Linked DNA regions of Xenopus tropicalis. The protein of the gene in region 2 purifies or fractionates together with the protein of the main gene of each other region. This does not show direct contact. Links are inferred from orthologs where the notes say so. Each region holds a gene or a part of one and is shown on either strand. Other genes may lie near its edges.

Evidence for each region. Proteins that work in one complex are often made in the same cells at the same time.
Region 1: the proteins of mms19 (region 2) and dna2 purify together in Homo sapiens (affinity purification with mass spectrometry; 3 studies listed by BioGRID and IntAct, counting the BioPlex papers as one, with this or other methods). This does not show direct contact. The link is inferred for Xenopus tropicalis from reciprocal best matches to the Homo sapiens genes MMS19 and DNA2.

The regions. Positions count from the first base shown.
Region 1 is NC_030683.2:40,338,292-40,341,946, forward strand, and holds part of dna2 (DNA replication ATP-dependent helicase/nuclease DNA2), read left to right. Parts: intron 1-1,133; coding exon 1,134-1,335; intron 1,336-1,449; coding exon 1,450-1,539; intron 1,540-2,192; coding exon 2,193-2,375; intron 2,376-3,655. UniProt on the Homo sapiens protein: Key enzyme involved in DNA replication and DNA repair in nucleus and mitochondrion.
Region 2 is NC_030683.2:33,013,431-33,017,085, forward strand, and holds part of mms19 (MMS19 nucleotide excision repair protein homolog), read right to left. Parts: intron 3,378-3,655; coding exon 3,303-3,377; intron 1,980-3,302; coding exon 1,853-1,979; intron 1,763-1,852; coding exon 1,662-1,762; intron 1,173-1,661; coding exon 1,116-1,172; intron 888-1,115; coding exon 701-887; intron 1-700. UniProt on the Homo sapiens protein: Key component of the cytosolic iron-sulfur protein assembly (CIA) complex, a multiprotein complex that mediates the incorporation of iron-sulfur cluster into apoproteins specifically involved in DNA metabolism and genomic integrity.

The sequences.
Region 1 (3,655 bases), about 7.3 Mb from region 2:
ATTAGGAGGTGGGAACATCATGGTGTGGGGCTGTTTTTCAGTATATGGCACTGGCACACTTCATATAATTGAAGGAAGGATGAATGGAGAAATGCACTGGGACATTCTTGATAAGAATCTTCTGGCAACTACCAGCTGAAGATAAAACGAGGGTGGACATTTCAGCACGACATTGATCCCAAACACATAGTCAAGGAAACTCTCTATTGGTTTCAGAGAAAGAAAATAAAACAATTGCCCAGTCAATCTCTCGACTTGAATCCAATTGAAAATTTATGGAAAGAACTGAAGATCAGAGTTCATAGAAGAGGCCCTTGGAACATTCAGTATTTGAAGACAGTTGGGCAATGGCAATGGACAATGGGCAATAATCACACCTGAGCAATGCATGCGACTAGTTTTTCCAAACAGGAGGCGCCTTGAAGCTGACATTACTAACAAAGGCTTTTCTGCTACTTATTAAATACATTTCAGTAAGCATGTTCAATATTTATTCCCTGTGTCATTCCACTTTACTACACATAACTTAACTTATGGACTTATTTGTTTTGATTTCTCTGTATGTGTTGATTACTTTGGTTGTTACCTACATCTGGTGTAAAGTTTATGTCAATAGCCCTTTAGAAATATATTTACTGAGAAAATCGTGACATGTTCAATACTTATTTTCCCCGCTTGTATAGTTAATGTTCTCTGACACTGCATTTCTAGCCAAAGACTTCTTACAACCCACTCGTCAACTTGTCATTGTCATAATGTAAACAGTCAAGGCTTATTAAAGGCAGCAAAACTAACAATATTTTTAAACATCAATCATTGTTCCAGTGTTTGGAACAATTGACATTGTCCTAACCTAGTGAGATGAATGATTTGCTGAATAGCTATTAGATTACCTCAGTGCCCACAGGGGGAGAAAGAGTAATATAAATATATCCTCCCTATTCTTATTCTGCTAAATACAATGCTGAACCGGTATTTTTTTTTAACAGGGACTACATAGAAACCTTCTTCTCTCTTTTTTGTTTTTACCTCTGAAAAACAATCTACTTCCCAAGTCTACTTAAAACAAGTGGTTTTATTTTATGGATAATATATCATTGAATTGTCGCTGACCATGTTGATCTGCTGTTTAGTCAGATTATGGCACTAAGCAACAAGCTGGTGTATGAAGGCAGGCTGGAGTGTGCCTCTGATCGTGTATCTAACGCTGTGGTTAAGCTACCTCATATTAAGACGTTACTTCTGGAGCTGGAGTTCAGAGAGAGCCAGGAATCAATGTGGATTAAAGATGTATTGGAGCCAAGTAACCCTGTGTGCTTTCTGAATACAGAAAAAGTATGTATTCTCCCCCCTCTGGTGATTTAACATACACTTGTGTTATATCTGCAGACATGAGCCAAAGACATATGTAAGGGCCATTTGCACCAATGCTTTTTTTCCCACTTCTAGATTCCAGCCCTGGAAACTGAAGAGAAGGGTGGAATAAGCAACTGGATAGAAGCTAAATTGGTGTTCTGTTTGACAAAGCTGTTTCTAAAGGTCTGTTTTCTAGCTGCATTTTATATCACTGTTTATCACTGTGAAAATTACTTTGTGAGGGATGCCTAATTGCCTGGCATCCCCCAGTGATTACATTCATTGAGCTTGTTCCCCAGACAGTGCTTCTTTTCACATGTTTATACTCTTTGACAGTATTGCGTAAGCGTATGGTCCTGTACAGCTGAAGCCATTGGAAAGTGACCAAAGATGGTGTTGTGGCACTGCATAAAAGTAGGCCTGAGAAGGTTGAACCTGCTGCTCAGCCCTTATGGGCTACTGCTTGGGTAGTGCTTTGCAGTTATTGTTCAGTGTGGTGAAATCTGGTAGGGGTAAAAGCAGTGGAATAACTAGAAGTTACTGGTCCCCACAGCAAGCTTTTTTAGAGCCCCCCCCCCCCCCCCAATATCTGGGAATATAATTATGCTCCTAGCTGCTCCTGTCAATCACACACTTTGTAATTTTGTCATCTTTGTTATACAGTAGCTTCTCAATGTTTGTGACTGTGCTATACATATATTTTTAATTATTTGTTATCCTTCATATAGTGCTGGCTAGTTTGTGTGTCACTTTACAAAAAGGTTGTTCATTGGCATGTTATACATACTACATCGATTTGTGTGTCATCCTAATATCTGTTGTTTGTTTCTACAAAGGCTGGCTGCAGACCCTCAGACATTGGGATCATAGCACCATATCGTCAGCAACTTAAAGTTATCTCTAATTATTTCAACTCCTTGTCAGCGAGTGCCGTGGAAGTGAATACAGTAGATAAATATCAAGGGAGAGACAAAAGTGTCATCATTGTGTCTTTCGTTAGAAGCAATATTGATGGAAAAGTAAGCCTACATTTACATCTTAGAATATTTTAACCTTCTTTTTTATACCAGTTCAAGCAAGCTTGATAAGGAGATTTATTTCACTTACCGTTAAATCCATTTCTCTTTAGTCCTATGGGGGACACAGGGACCATGGGGTTAAGTCCCCTCCATCAGGAGCAAGACACTTAAAGGTGTGCTTTACCTTTAATTTAACTTTTAGTATGTTATAGAAGGACCAATTCTAAGCAACTTTTCAGTTGGTCTTCATTATTTATTTCTTACAGTTTTTTGATTATTTGTCTTTCCAGCTTTCAAATGGGGATCACTGACCTCAGCAGCCAAAAAACTATTGCTCTGTGAGGCTACAGTTGTATTGTTATTACTACTTTGTATAACTTTTTTTCTATTCAGTCCCTCCCCTGTTCATATATCAGTCTCTCATTCAAACCACTACCTGCTAAGGTAATTTGGACCCTAGCAACCAGATAAGTGTTATAAGTACAAACTGGAGAGTTGCTGAACAATTATTGAAAATAATTAAACTACAAATAATAAAAAATGAAGACCAATTGCAAATTGTCCCAGAATATTATATATAATATATATATCTACTTCATACTAAAAGTTAACTGAAAAGTGAATGACCCCTTAAAGGAATGTAACCCCTATAACCCTCTTCCCATTCCCAGGCACCTCAATTATCATGGAAAAGACAGAGCAAACACTGCTTCTAACAATCTTTTTTTTTTTTTAATTTCATTTTAAAACAAGAAGGAGGGGTAGCTTGAAGACCTGCACTAAGGTCTCAAGGGGTATCCATCACACTGTACCTTAATGACCTTCTGCTCAAGGCACCTTCTCTTCTAGCAGCTAAATTCCAGCCCTCCGTGTTCATGGACACTCTGTACACTCTGGTATGAACGTTCAATATGGCCAAATCTCGTCTAGTGCCTGCTTGGCGCATGATCTTCGATATGGAGCAGCAAAAGGTCCTTCCTTCCTTCAGAGAAGATCACCCGGATCCAACTTCATTACAATCAGGTCCTGGGGTCAATGGTGTCCTCCATCGAAGCAGTTCCCCAGGACTGGGGTACTGCAAGTGAGCAATCCAGCGTAGGGGGCTGACGCAAAAAGTCCAGCACAGGCTCCCTCAGGTACCACCCCGGATGTTCTCAAGCCATAAGTCTCCTGGAGACTGTTGTCCAACCTCCTGTTTGCGAGGACATTCAAAAAACTGAAGTGCCTGGGATTGGGAAGGGGGTTATAGGGGTGGGAGGGTTACATTTCTGGCTCCTGAT
Region 2 (3,655 bases):
AAAAAACATCAAAAACCTCAAATAACTTTTCTAAATGGCTTTCCTAACCAGTATAACATCAGACCAGCCTTCATTTCTTTCTTTTGATAAGTTCCTTGACTGGATCATGATAGGAAACTGACCAGCAGTACATATTTCCTATTTAAGGTGGCCATACATGGGCAGATTTAAAGAAGAATGAAAGTTTAAATCACTGGCGGGGGGGGGGGGGGGGGGGGGGGCAAAAGTTATGCACCTTAGGTGGGCATATCAGGAGGGAGATCCGCTCATTCTGCGACCTCACCAAACATGCGGATCTTAACGTGTATGGCCAGCTATACAGAGCATAGTGGCAACTGCGTGTTCTCTACTTAATACACATTTTTTACTCACCTACAAATCAGTTACAGGTAATGAAATTCAATTCATATGTAACATAAGAGCTTGCACATGGAGCATGAGCACTAACACCCTGTGCCAGAGAGAGGCATGAGAAGGAGAGGGTGATTATTCAAGTAGCCTTCCCTTTCACTCCCACTTAGCTCTCTGGAGGAAATGAGTACATTCTATAAGTAATGAGTAAGTTCTATTTGTTGGATCTGCATGGAGCACAGTTATATACTGCATGCGTAATAATGATAAATGGATAAATAATATGAAAGTCACTGCTTATTGCTGATGTTAATACAAAAAAGTAAAAAAAAAAAAAAAATCATGTCACCTCTGTTGGCAGAGTTGAAACCTTGCACCAGCTTTGGGACATTCTCTGTGAAGAACCTTTGCCGGAACATGATGCGGATGTCTGCATGGCAGGCTTTATTAATGATATCCGGCGAGTCTGATACTAACAGGGAGAACATATTTGCCACTGAAGGACCCAGCTGCTTATCAGACAGTAAACCAATCATCTGTGGAATAGCAAATGGGGAAAAGTAGAAAGTGAAGGCCAAGGTCAACTGATTTTTTTGCAACTGTTCGTGTAAAGGGCAGACAGGCAGAATGAAATGAGTGGCTATGAGTTTTAGAATTAAAGAAAAGCAGATTTTCCAGCACTGCTCTTTTTTCATTAAAATATGTAAAATATCACTTGCTGCCTTTATGATAGGAGATTTACTCATCTGCTTCCAAGTTCTTACCTTATTGGTTAGCTGCCCACTCAAAGGGTGGTATCTCAGTACCAAGGCTTTGGTTACCTACACGAGAAAGAAAGGTCAATGCTATTTCCTCCAGTGACATGTTCATGACTATTCACAGTTCATATACCAAAACATCACTGTTTAATTTAGCCTTACAAGGGTACAAAACCTTTGGCTATCAATAGTTCTGAACATCTAAAAGCCAAAGAGTTATATGTGTATAGCCAAGTGTTATATATTTCTGGGGCAAAACTAAAATAATAAAAAGAACATTGCTATTTTCCCTGTGTATTTGTAGTAAAGGTGCTAAGGAACAGAAATTAGCGACTGATTTAGCCCGTTTGGCCAAAGTAGCAGCCAAAGGTCCTCTGCATGGAGGGTACATTATAAATCAGTTTGAAAAATATCATTGCTCTGTTGATGGAGTATGCATTAGAATTCACTGTACAGCCCCCTGCTTGATGCCCAAATTAAGCATCTGCTCATTTTTTTTTTTACCGGGCTAAATGACAGATGAGTGTCCAGCCAATTAAGTGTTGTTCTTACCCAGACTAGGAGAGTAATGGCCCGAGTCCTGCTGGGTTCATCCACCAGCCCCACATCTATCCGTTGAGCTGTTACTAGAAGTATATCATCCAGCAGGTCCCCTAGTGGGAAAGGCACAAATGCACAGCTCAGTACAGAACTCATGCAGGTATATTCCGTGACACAATGACACAAGGGAAAGCAGGACTCACCTTGGGGACATTTATTGATTAGCCCAGCAAAGCATTTTGAGGCAGAGGAATATGCAAATGGTGAGCACCCTGAGAGACTCAATGATAACAAATGCTGCAGCAATCGTCTCAGATGTGGAATTTCCACCTGCCATTAAAATCAGGTATAATAATGTAAGAAGGTTGTACACCAAATTATTTCAGGCTGGAAAGAATTAAAATTAAGAATGGCTTCATCAATTCATAATATATCTACAAAAGATGACAATGGGGCACTTGGGAATGCAAAAAAATAATACTTTTTTTACGGGTGTGTTATAAGCCACTGTATTTTTGATATAAAGACTTATTTGATATAAAGTGGTATATCTTCTCATGAGCTTGAAAGGAACCACAGCACTAAACTGCATTATTAGGTGATGAAACATTCACCATCTTAAGCAAAAGGTGCATGTGAAGTTTTCTTGCGTTTTTTTCCCCTCAGGAAAAAAAGGTGAGAATATGGTTTTTAGTCATAAATGGCTTCATATTACAGCATGAAGTATGGCAAACTGCCTCACACAAAGCAACCAATCAGATTCCAACTTTGTATGTTCTACAAGTATTAGATTGATTAAAAGCTAATTGCTGATTGGAGGCTGTGGTTTACTACACTGAGGAAGTCCGACTGTGTCATTATCACATTGATTCCCATCACCATCAGGCTTAAAAAAACTAAGCGTAAACAACAACAAGGCTTATTTACCAGTGCATGAAGTGGCGCACTGAAAAACATCCACTTGCTTGATTTTTGAAAGACTGGTCTGTTTACACATAGCCACTAAACAGGTAACACACATCTGATTGGTTGCTATAGGTTACTAGACCAGCAATCAGCCAGCAGTTAGCATGTACTAGTGAGCTGCTTGAAAACACATATCCAAATATCTTTTATGAGTTACAGACCTTTCATTATATTACCCCGTTTGTTCCTTTAATTGCATTATCCCCTCTGTATCACAAGACACCAGTTATTAAACAGCTATGTCTTAAATCCATACCTGCAGGTCTAATGACAATAGCCTAGGTATAACTGCTGACTACCATCATTACCTGAATGGCTGTAATATTTCTCATCTATAACTCCCAGTTTCCTCAGGCAACAGACTGAGGCAGAGTATTCAGGGAATTTAATCTGTCAACTGCAATGAGCCTTGCAGGTCTGATATAATGTAAATATATGAATCTAAAGGAAAATATAATGTCTTAATAAGAAACACCATTATAAAGCTATAAACCTTACTAAGTGGCATTGCTAAACTGAGCAGAAGGATGGAGAACTCGCTGTTTAAAAAGTTTATTTCCCCGAAATGGGCCTGTTGGAAGCATTTTCCATACATAAAGTGAGTAAATCCCATATTCTGCAAATTAGCCTGCAAGGTATGCCCAGAATCCGGCAAAATGTAATTAAGGCTTTTTGTTTCATACTCACATTTCTTGGCAAGGAGCAAACAAATGCCATTAACAATGATACTAAGTGGTTCTGGAGCTCCGTGGGACCATTTACCTGCAAATAAGCACATGCTTAATTATATGATTATTGCTTATGGGCTCAGACAATGTTCTGTTCCTGCATTTTGTGTACTACAGATACAGCATTGTTGCTTATTGCGGACTATGACAAACATACAGAAACACAGATTCACAAGCCATATATAGAATAATGTCAGTCAAAAGGGGTGGTTACTAGTCCTTTCAGAATTCAGGGCACACATTTGTTTCTGCTCAACTCTCCATCACTGTCTCTGTCACTACTCAAATGGATCACTGTATTACAGACACTAT